Cricetulus griseus: one gene and its partners. The protein of the gene in region 1 interacts with the protein of each later gene in a pairwise test. Links are inferred from orthologs where the notes say so. Each region holds a gene or a part of one and is shown on either strand. Other genes may lie near its edges.

What was found.
Region 2: the proteins of Tfip11 (region 1) and Bmf interact in binary tests that used the Homo sapiens proteins (3 or more experiments, as listed by UniProt). The two-hybrid records come from large-scale screens. The link is inferred for Cricetulus griseus from reciprocal best matches to the Homo sapiens genes TFIP11 and BMF.
Region 3: the proteins of Tfip11 (region 1) and Snrpb interact in binary tests that used the Homo sapiens proteins (3 or more experiments, as listed by UniProt). The link is inferred for Cricetulus griseus from reciprocal best matches to the Homo sapiens genes TFIP11 and SNRPB.

What each region holds. Positions count from the first base shown.
Region 1 is NC_048597.1:92,010,953-92,014,421, reverse strand, and holds the end of Tfip11 (tuftelin-interacting protein 11), read right to left. Parts: intron 3,424-3,469; coding exon 3,281-3,423; intron 2,948-3,280; coding exon 2,782-2,947; intron 2,430-2,781; exon of another isoform or gene 1,661-2,429; coding exon 1,305-1,660; 3' UTR 1,237-1,304; coding exon of another isoform or gene 1,186-1,236; 3' UTR 1,185-1,185; coding exon of another isoform or gene 1,089-1,184; 3' UTR 1,087-1,088; coding exon of another isoform or gene 898-1,086; 3' UTR 593-897; coding exon of another isoform or gene 547-592; 3' UTR 518-546; downstream 1-517. UniProt on the Homo sapiens protein: Involved in pre-mRNA splicing, specifically in spliceosome disassembly during late-stage splicing events. Intron turnover seems to proceed through reactions in two lariat-intron associated complexes termed Intron Large (IL) and Intron Small (IS).
Region 2 is NC_048599.1:59,933,468-59,937,288, reverse strand, and holds the start of Bmf (bcl-2-modifying factor), read right to left. Parts: upstream 2,478-3,821; coding exon 2,355-2,477; intron 1,986-2,354; coding exon 1,856-1,985; intron 1-1,855. UniProt on the Homo sapiens protein: May play a role in apoptosis. Isoform 1 seems to be the main initiator.
Region 3 is NC_048599.1:48,440,064-48,443,610, reverse strand, and holds the start of Snrpb (small nuclear ribonucleoprotein-associated proteins B and B'), read right to left. Parts: upstream 2,801-3,547; 5' UTR 2,654-2,800; coding exon 2,651-2,653; intron 570-2,650; coding exon 418-569; intron 1-417. UniProt on the Homo sapiens protein: Plays a role in pre-mRNA splicing as a core component of the spliceosomal U1, U2, U4 and U5 small nuclear ribonucleoproteins (snRNPs), the building blocks of the spliceosome.

The DNA of each region.
Region 1 (3,469 bases):
TCCACAGGAAGGCAAGCGCAGCACCCAAGGCCAACCCACCATCTTCTACATGCCACATTGTGGCACAGCTCTATACAACAATCTGCTGTGGAGCAACTGGTCCATAGACGCCCTTTCCAGGGTGGTCATCATTGGGAACAGTTTCCAGTGCATCGAGGAAAGGTGAGCTATTGTGACCACCAGGCCCACCTACGGGCAGAAGGGCTTTCCATCCCCATAAGGGACTGGGTGGAAAGGTTTAAGGCAGGCATCAACCCCCGAGTCCAGCTTAAAGCACTCAAGGAACCTACAAATAATCGCCTCTTCTGGGGGAAAAGCATGTGTGAGTAGCCATGCTTTATGTGTGAAGACCACACTCTTAATGTACTTTTGAAGTGCCTGCCTGTGCCACCCCACAGATGCTCTTCCCTACAGATGCTTGCTGGGGCATCACATTCCACAGCCCCCAACCCTTTCTGAACTCATCTTATTTTTCTATCCATTATTAAAAAAAAAAAAACCATCCACATATCCTCGCTGATTGTGTATAAATACATTTATTTCTAGGTTGTTGGCAAGGATTCTGCAGAAAAATTATCCCTACATTGCAAAGGTATCTCACAGAATAGTGAGAGTGGCGGGGGATGGGGTGGGGGGATGTGTGCCCCACTACCCACTGATGTTTCTAAGCATACAAAGCATAATGTACTGGCAGGGGCCCTTCCCTGGAACCCGTAAGTGCCCAATTCCCTTCATTCTCAGGGTGAGTCCAGCATTCCCACTACCATCAGGACTGAAAAGCATTGATAGACAAATCCCCATTTATTTTTCAAAAGGACAGTGGGGTTGCCAGTGAAGGGAAGGTACACCAGGAGAGCAGGGTTGTGCCTAATGCCTATGTCTGGACCCTCTGCTCAGATTGTGAAGAGCCTGGAGGAGTTCCCACTGCCGCAGACTCCACGCTACATGGACACCTTTAATGACACTTCTGTCCACTGGTTCCCTCTGCTGAAGCTGGAGGGACTTCCCAGGAACCTGTGGGCATCTCAGGAAGAACCTGACTACCAGGACTGCGAGGACCTGGAGATCATCAGGAAACAGACAGGCTGAGCTCAGCTGGCATAGCAGGACAGTATCTGCCACCTGGGCCAGGAGCCATGCTGCAGACCATGCCATCTCCTTTGCCAGGCAAGAAATACAGCCCAGGCTGCTGGTATCACATCACATTCTGCTCTGGTGGCCTGGTCTCCCAAATAGAGACATTGTTTGTAAAGTCAGTTTAAAGTGCTGTTTATTCACACCTGACTGGTGCAGGGCCCTGATGTCTACTTGGCCATGTCTATGAGGCTCTGCAGGGAGGTGGGCACCCAAGTCTTCTCACCCTGCACAAATACCACACCCCGGTCGATGTAGATGACAATCCGGCCAAAGGTGTAGAGCTGTTTGCCCTCATGCCGCTTGCCAATGACAGGCATGAACACAATGTTGTGCTCTTCTGCCTTGGTCTCAATGAGGTCCTTGAAGTTCATAGGCACAGAGCTGGCAGCCACACCGATGCCCCTCTGAGCCATATTCTCAGCCTCACGGCGTTCCTGCATGGCCTCATACTGGAAGTCCTTCCTGCGCTCCGTGTGGGTGAGGTAGGCAATATTCTCTCGTGCACCTGGCTGCATGTAGGCACCTGAGAGAGGGAGGACAGTGAGGAGAGGTGACCCCAAATGTACAGAACCCAACATGCATTATGATGGCATGGTGTGTCCTCTGTTTAAGGACCCAGGCACTAATACATGGTCACTGCATAATTGAAGAGAGACATATCACAAAATTGGTACATGAACTTGCAGCTAATATCAAATGCCAGAAGCGAATCTGTTAGTATCGGATGAGATGTGGACAAGGGCTGGGCCCAGAGGTGGCCTCCCGAAATCACCACCCACAAGGTCACCTCATAGTCTATCATGGCCTTTGCTGCCTCTACTTTCCCCTTGTCCACAGTGGCTCCTGCCCTCAAAGAATGGAAATCGGGGGTTGGAGATTTGGCTCATTGATAAGGAGTATGTATTGTGCTTGCAGAAAATCCAGCTTGATTGCCAGCACCCACTTCAGATACCCACAACTATCTAACTCCAGACCATGGGATCTGATAGCCTCTTCTGGCCTCCCCTGGCACTGCACTTGTGTGTATTACGTGAGCCACGTAGCAATGTGACTGTGCTGTAATACAGCAATCCTGGGCCCCCAACAGCAAGCAGTGATACACAAGGACCTGTAGTGATAGATCTGCCTCCACACCTGCAACACTGACCACACCTTTTAGGCGTGGCCATACAGGTTTGGGGTCAGAAGCCCCTTTGGGTCACCAGAGCATCAGGGAGCAGAAACGCTACAGCAGTTACTTACTGTTTTCCGTGTTTTAAGTTATTTACTAATAAACTCCACTTAATACTGGTCTGGTGAATCCTAATATCCATGCCTTTAAGGACCCAGCTGCCAAGTGCCACAGACATGAGCTCAGCCATCTTGTAGCCCATGAAGTAGGCACAGAGCATTGCTCAGAAAGGAGCAACTGCCAAGTTCTGTCTATGCAGAGCAGTGTGGGAAACCTGCCTGGAGTCAGACCCACTCTTGTCAGCCTCTGTCACAGGACAACAGGGTGGGAGCTGTAAGTAGCAGTCCACTGGACACTGTCCCAGGAGTAAAGTGACTGGTAGAGTGGCCTCACAGAAGACCAAAAGCAGTGGGAGTCAATGTCATGTTTAGGAACCAAGGCCCGAACACACCCCCAACAGGAACCCTACTCACCCACATTGGAGGACACAGCCCTGTTCATGATGTCAAGTGCTTCGTTGAACTTGTCCTTGACGGAGGGATGTGCCAACACCTGGTCTGAGAACATGGATTTCCAGCCCAGGTACCACTTGGTGATCTCCTCGTAATTGGGGCTGTTACTGAGCCAGGAGCATAGCACCTGCCAAAGGACACCAGACACTGAGCCAGTGGCCACACACTGGACAGGAGGCTGGACCACAGCAGCGGGAGCAGTGTCCCCAGGGGCTACTTGCTGTCTGCAGCGCTGCTCCTCCTAGCAGCCCACATCACAGGGCTCGTGGAGTTGCAGCATCTAGCAATTATTAGAATCTAGAGCCAGCCTGTGGCCTACATGTGCTGGACCTAAATCTCTACATCCCCAGACAGGTTCGGTGAGGAGCTGAGGTGAGACAATACCATGCCTTGACAGCAATGCGCACTGAGGACCCCTGGGCTCTCACCCCACCCTGCCCTCCTGGGCCACACAGCACACCTGAAGCCACTTGGGGAAGAAATGCTTCTCCAGCAGCCCCACCAGGCTTGAGACAGAGATCATCCCTTCCCAGTCCATCACCCAATAGAAGGCGTCCATATGCTGCTGGTGGGGGTTGATGACGAGTTCACCCAGACACATGCCTGCAAGAGAGATGGTCCCTGGCTCAGCTTCTGCAGTGGCAAAGCT
Region 2 (3,821 bases), on another chromosome or scaffold:
AGCTTCTGATGATACACAACTCTGGTAATTAAACACTGCCAAGGATGACATTCACCCATAAAGTATGGACCACCCCAATGGTCAGGTTCCTCCATACCTCCTCCCTGCACCCACCAGAGCCACCTTTCCCCATACTCTCTAGCCTAGGCTGGTCACAAAGCTTGGGCACTGAGGTATGTAAGCAAGGGTTAAGATCAGGTGCTATCACAGGGTACCTGGGAAAAGATAAGCAAGACTAACCACACACACACACACACACACACACACACACTGAGGAGGGACCTCCAAGCTTTCCCCTAAGTCTGAGCTGAACTCCAGGCTCAGCAGCAAAAACAAAAGCCAGAAATTGTAGAGCAGCCAGGTTCCCTCCTAACCTGCTAAGCCCTGCCCTACTGCACATCTCCACCCCCCTCCTTGCACAACACAACAAACAGGCTCTGTGGTGTGGTGAGTGTCCTGGAACAGGGGACCTAAGTTAGTCACTCCAGCTGCCTGGCTCAGCTCTCTTCCACTGGAACAGAGCTGTCTGCCCAGCACAGGTTAATTTTGAAGGCTGAATCAGCCTCTAGCAAAGTGTCCTGCTAATTCTACCCACTAATCTCCATGACTTCAAATTTTCATCCACGAAGCCTCCCACTCTTGCCAGAGCTGAACCTGAGATAGGTGCAACGTGCCTCATAGAAGGAAGTGAAATTCAGCCCTCTTGCTGTGCTCTCTCTCACTGCCTACACCGCGGGGGCTGTTTCTTAGTGTTAAGTTCCTCTCGCTCCACCTGACGGCTCATGAAATTCTGCACTTGGAGTCACCCAGCAGCTTGAGCTTCCAAGCATGCCCCGGGGGCAACCAGAATCATAGGCAAGCGCCTGAATGGTCAAGGCAATGCAAAAACAAATTTGGTAATCTTCAGACTCTTCTGACCCACTAGGGTCTTGCCTTTGAAAGACAAGCCAAGTGGTTTGTGGGTTCTTAAAGAAGCCTTTTAAAAGAAAAGCTTTGTCTTTAAAGAAATCTTAGTTAAGTTCGGAGACCTTCCCTCCCCAAATGTGAGCTCTGAGTTTCTTGCCTCATCCGGCACTCCACCTCATCACATCCCTGAGCTATCTGTGGCCTCGTCTCTGCTTTCTTCCCTGGAGATTGATGCCATACATGCCTGCTAGGATGGCAAAGCACATATCTTTGGATATTGTTCCAATTGGTAAGGGGGAACTCCAGCTTATCAGCAACAGAAAAATCAAGTTCCCAGATAAAAGGACCAAGAGCTGTCACCAAGCAGTTCTCCTGTCCTTCATCCCCTTCTCTGCAGGCTGGTAATCCCAACCAAAGTAGGGACCTCCAGAGCCAATCACAAGTAGGAGTCATTGTCTTGGTGTTTCTTTTGATGCCTATCACTCCCCTCCCCCTCCCAGCAAAGCCCCAAAGTTCAACCCTTGCCTAGACTGGACAGTGGGGGAGGTGCAGCCAGAGGGTGTGACTCTGAAAACGCCGAGACCCCCTCCCACTCTGCACACGAACTGCAGGTGGCTCTCCGGTTGGTGTGAGCCTCCGCCTCCAAGAGGTTCTGGGCAAAGACAAACGTAAAATGGGGAAAAGTAGAGACCTTCAGCTTCCCTGAGCTAAAGTGGTAATGTCCAGACTGGTAAGAAGAGGGCACTTCCTGAGAGCACAGCAGAGAACGCTTTATTCCTAGCAAAGGGATTAAAGTCCGCTGGAGCCATCCCAGAGCCTCAGAGCTCCAACTGGGATGCTCAATTAAAACTCCTCCTCTTCTTGGGAGATGGCACTAGCTAGACACCTTGAAGATCGATAGTGGCTAAGATCTCAAAACACACGCGCGCACACACGAGCGCAGACACACCTGGGTGACTCCAGGACAGAGTCTCAGCCTCCGAGTCGTGATGCCAGGGCTCTGCGCCAGGGTCCAGGGTGATGAGCACTCGGGGGGCTTGGCGCCCACACTCGATTGGGAAGGAGGGGGCAAACTCCAGCTGTTAAGAAGAGGACCCTTCAGAGTTCGCAGGGAGGCAAAATGCACCACAACTCACGGCCCCACCCCAGAGTCAGACCCGGAGGCCAGAACGTTCCGAGCGCTTGGCAGTGCACCCCAGGGTCACTTGCCCACCTACTCTCAACTCCAAGTTCCAAATGTTTCCCTAAAGCCCCGCTTGGAACAGCACGCCCAAATTTGTGCTTTGCACCCCGCTCCCACATCCCGGCACCCCAATTCTTCATGGTCACCCCAGATGTCCGCAATCCAAACCCTTCCCGGGCCCCCACGCGCCGCGCGACTCCGCTCCCCACTTCCCGGAGGAGGCACGATCCAACTCCGCCTGGCCCCCGGCCGCCCGGGCGCTCACCGGGCTGCGGCAGGAGGCGGTGGCGCGAGCTGGGGCAGTGGCTGCTGCGGGCGCGAGCTGGCGCGGGAGGAGGCCACGGCGCACCTCGCGGTATTGTTTCCAAAATACGCCCGCTCCGGGCATCCCGCAAACAGCTGATGAGGCCCCGCCCCTCTCGCGTCACTCCAACCATTGACCAATGACAAGTGGAGCTCCAAGTCTCAGGCTGGGTAGCTGCCAGGGACGGTCACTAATGTACAAACCTTCCCTTGGAAACACTATAAGGGGCCGAGCGCATTTCTGACCTTCGCCAGAAGCGTAATTGGAGCGCTGTGTCGGGTGAGGATTCGGTTCCTAAGGCAGGCCCCAGAAGCGCCAGGGAGTCCCTGGGTTCTCCACTAGGTGGGAGGACAGGGCTCCGAAGTGACTTTTGTCTACTTGGAAATGGACTGAATTATTGCGGAGTTTCCAGAAAGCCGGCTCAGAAGGAGGCTGGGAGCTTTCAGCGGCTTGCAACTTGTAGAGGGAAAAAGCTGTTGTCGGTCCCTAGTGAAGGGGGGAGGGCGCCGCCCTCTCGCCTGCTTGGGTGGGTCCGAGGAAAGCTGGAGGAAAACACGTGCATCTGTAACCAAATGACATTTGGATCCAGCAAGTGCAATGAGAGGCCCAGGTCCTCTCTTCTGGACTGGGCAAGAACATGTGCGAAAAAAAGATTCTGGCAGAGGCGAGATCAAGAGGGGCAGCTTGGGCAGCCGACACAACCTGTTGATGGTCGCATCAGAAGACTTCATTGGCCGCTGGGAAAGCAACAAGCATCTCACGTACTATGGTCGACCCAAGGATGACTGCACATTTCTTGAACACCTACTGTGTGCCAGGCACAGGACTAAGTGCCAGACTTCTGGTGCCTGACCTCAGTGAACTTCTACCCCGTTATTTTCGAATAACGGAAAGCAACATGAATGGTGTTCCGTGTAGGGATAATTATGGGTGCAGGAAAATTCAGAATGCAGAGATTTTGAGTCGAGCTTAGAAAAATGAGGAATTTTTCATTAAGTAAAATCCAAATAAAACAGCCCAAGCCCAGAGAAGGCAGGAAGCTAGAATAAAGTACTCTGCTGGAAAGCTTGTCCAAGGAAGCAGGGGCACACCTCTCCAGCAAGCTATCTGGCATCCTCACCATGACTTAGATGTGTAAGTGTGGGCAGGCGGGTTCGGGTCAGACTGCAGAGGTGCGACTGGAAAACCAGGCTGAGGAATCTGTATTTTATAGAGGGCTGGCAGCAAAGGTTTTACAGAAGATGAATTGGGGGGGGGGTGAGGGGAAGACAGGGGAGCACGGAGGAAGGAGGGAGCAGAAGTCAGTGAAAAGAACCAATTCCTGCCACAGCCTACTAGAGCTGTGATAGAGGCAGGCTTGTTTTTTGAGGTAGTGCCTTGTGTGTAGCAGGCTGACTTCACACTCTGTATATAGCCAAAGGTGACCTC
Region 3 (3,547 bases), on another chromosome or scaffold:
CCCTGAAGAGGGTCAGAGGCTTCTTAAAGCAGTTTCAGACCAGGCTGCAATAGGAGAGCCCTTTAGGCTACAGCTTTACAAATAGGTAATGAGGCCAGAAAATCAAGCTCTCCCCCCTCACACACCTGTGGGGAGAACATGAGAGCCCTTTACCCCAGTACCCAGGGGCATGCAAACTCAGAAAAATTAAAAGCCTAGCAGCCCTCCTCACCAACTTCTACTTTGCTAGAATTGGAGAGCAAGGTTTTCTGGATTAAGGAAGAGATTCCTTAGCAGCTAACATTCCCCTTTAAGTTTCTCCCTTCAAAAGCAAGTGAGCAAACAAGAGCACCTAGCTGAATGGCCATCCCACTCTTGGCCCGCCCATCCATCCAGTCCATCCCAGTTCCTTCTCCCTCCCAACAGCCCTCTCCTTACTTGATCTTCCTGAATTCATCACAGTCACAGAGGATCAAATTCATATGCTTGTCAAAAGCTTTGAAGGTCCCGATGAAGATCCGGCCATCTTGCAGGATGCACCTCATCCTGTAGTCAATGTGCTGCAGCATCTTGCTGCTCTTACCCACAGTCTGCAAGGAGAGAGCAGGGAGCAGTGAGGACTCACTCACACACTTCTGCTCTTACCCACAGTCTGCAAGGAGGGAGCAGGGAGGACTCACTCACACACTTCTGCTCTTACCCACAGTCTGCAAAGAGGGAGCAGGGAGGACTCGCTCACACACTTCTGCTCCCCGCCCCCATCTTCCACCACAGCCTACTTTTCTATTCCCAACCTTCTCAACAATTTCCTGACATCTTCCAAACAAGGTCCTTTTCTGAGACTCTTATCAACCAGCTTTAGCCTTGATTTCTGCCCATTAATGTGCTATTTTCCCTGCCCTTAAAACAGGCAATCTCCCTGGGACTACAACTTTGTCTATGTTGTATCTGTCTCAGGAGAGTTAAAGTGTTCACAAACTAATCAAATCCACCCATACTAGACCTAGTGGGCATTAAGCCATCCACCACTATATAGACTCAGTTCTACGAACAACTAAATCCATCTAAACTAAGAACTGGAATTCAACAGGCACTAAGTGGATTCACTTAATTAAGGAAAAGCTTATTACCAGAAAGTGAAACCAGCTCTGAAGCAAGAACAGGAGTAGGGTAACTTGGGCAACTTTTCTGGGCCAGAGTGCTAATTAGTTTGGATACTTAATAGTCTAATATATATATATAATATAATAGTCTAATTTTTAATTAAGGCAAACAACATTCTCTATCCTGGTTCCCAATGTAACTTTGCAAAAATAAAGGCGCTTATACACACCCCTAGGTGAACAGAGGTATCTGTGGTAGTCTCTCTCAGAAACGTATCAGTTACCCACAACTATAACTGGCATTATGTCACTTTTAACTACCCAAGTTGTCTTCTCTGTACCAGGAACGCTGTTCACCCCTGTGAGCATTACCCAGCCCTAACCTGAAAACCAGATTTTGTATTTTTTTCTGCTTAAATAATCATCTCAAAGAGCTCTGTTACTAGGATCGGCGTATATCGGTCCAATAGCTAATATTTAATAGCTATGTATGGCTAGGCCCTTGAAAAGGATTTATCTCCTTTAATCCTCAAAACTGGGTCCACTGTCATTCCTTTTTACTGACCAAATAGACGACCCAAGCTGAAGGTTAAGTAAGGACTTGTCTCAGTCAACTCTCAAAAACAATAACCTATTTTCGCTACCTCGGGTTTCTTCAGCTACTTAACTAGACTAATATTTTTGGAGACATTCGAGGCATTTGTTACATTTGCTCTGTAGCCAAAACTGGCTTCAAAATTCAAGCTCCTCTGCCTACTATGCACAGAAATTACAAATTTCGAGCACTGGCCACTTTTCCCGGCTGACCTTTCTAAACCTAAGTCCATGAAGCCTGTGAAAACTCTTCCAGCGATGTCTTACTACCAAGAGGGAAAACAAGATGCAGGGACTTCAGCAACCAGGTTCCTGACAATTCGTTGCCTTCTACTGGGCCCTCTCGGTTCTCCAGATTTCTAACCCTCCCTCGTACAGGGGAGCGGGGCGCTCCTAAACAATCACTTGGGCGTCTGCTCTGGACCCGTCCCGCCCCTCCCCCTGCCGTTACTTTTTTGCCTAAAGCCGAACTGCCATAGAGAATCACATTAGCCCTGCACAGAGCCAGAAACTGAACCAACGCACAACTTATTTCAGGGTGCAGCCCCAGCGCCTGACATACCCCAACATAAAAATACGCGTAGCAGGGTCGCGCTCTGCATGCAAACACTCTCCTCCACCCTCCCGCTCCCTCCGCCTCTCCTCCGTCCGGCCCGGTGTCCCCCGGTCGGCCGGAGGCTCGCGTCCGCTCCGGGAGCCCGGGCACACAGCGACCCGGCACACGTTTCCAGCTACCGAGGCCGCGGAACTGTAACCGCAGAGGCGCCGGGCCACGCACGGCGGCCTCGGTCCCCGGTGCAGCCTTCCCCTCCACCCGGGCCCAGCCGCTCCGCAAGTCCAGGCCTTTGGCGCCCGGATTAAGCGGCTTCGACCCCGACCTTGTCGGCCACGGGCGGCTTCAACCCACGGCCGCCGCCAGCCACCGCCCCACTCCGCACCCCTGAGCGCCCCGCGGCCAGCCCGCGCCTTCTTACCATGGTGGCGGCTCCGATGTCTCAGATGCCCGCCGGATTCGCTTCCACAGAGGCCTAGTCGCCAGCCAGCAGCGCGATTCCCGCCGCCGCTAACGGAAATGCAGCCCGCAAAGTGCCGCCCCTCGTGAGGCTACTTCCGGCTCGGCCTCCGCCCCGGAGTTCCGGGCCCTGGTAGCAGTTTAGGGCGTGGAAAGGTGTTGACTGCGGCCGGTTTGTTTGGGGTTTTGTTTTTGTTTTGATTTTTTTGGTGTGTGTGGTTTTGGTTTTTTTTTTTTTTCTTCGTTTTAATTTTATCGAGCTCTCCCTCTCGTTTTGTTTTGTTTTAGAGACTGTGTCGCCCAGGCTGGTCTTAAGCTCCGATCCTCCTACCTATAGCATCCTTAGTACCGACGCGGGCGTACACCATCATATTTGGTAATAAACATCAAACTGAACGCCCTTGAAAGCATTGGATCCTCGTTGGACACACACCTTCCCAACTTAGTCTCCGCGAGGGTGGCGTGTTTCTCTCCCCGGAACCCCTCCCCTACTCCAGTTCTTGAACCCAGCGCTCTCGTGAACTCACTCACAGAACTCACTCTTACTGATTTTCCCCTAAGGCTTGAAATGTTCTTTCATCTGTACCTTTGCATTTGCTTTTGTCTCGCCCTTTCCTCTTCATGTTTAGACTGAAATAACACTGTCCTGGTGAGGACTTCCCTGATCGTCCTTTCTCTTTATAGATAGGTAGGTAGGTAGATAGATAGATAGATAGATAGATAGATAGATAGATAGATAGATAGATAGATAAGAAACGAGTCCTTCCCATTTTTTGTCTTTAATATTGATTGCTATCTGACATGCTAAGCGGTAGTCCCCTCATTGTTGGAGGGGTTACCTTCCAAGACTCCCAGTACC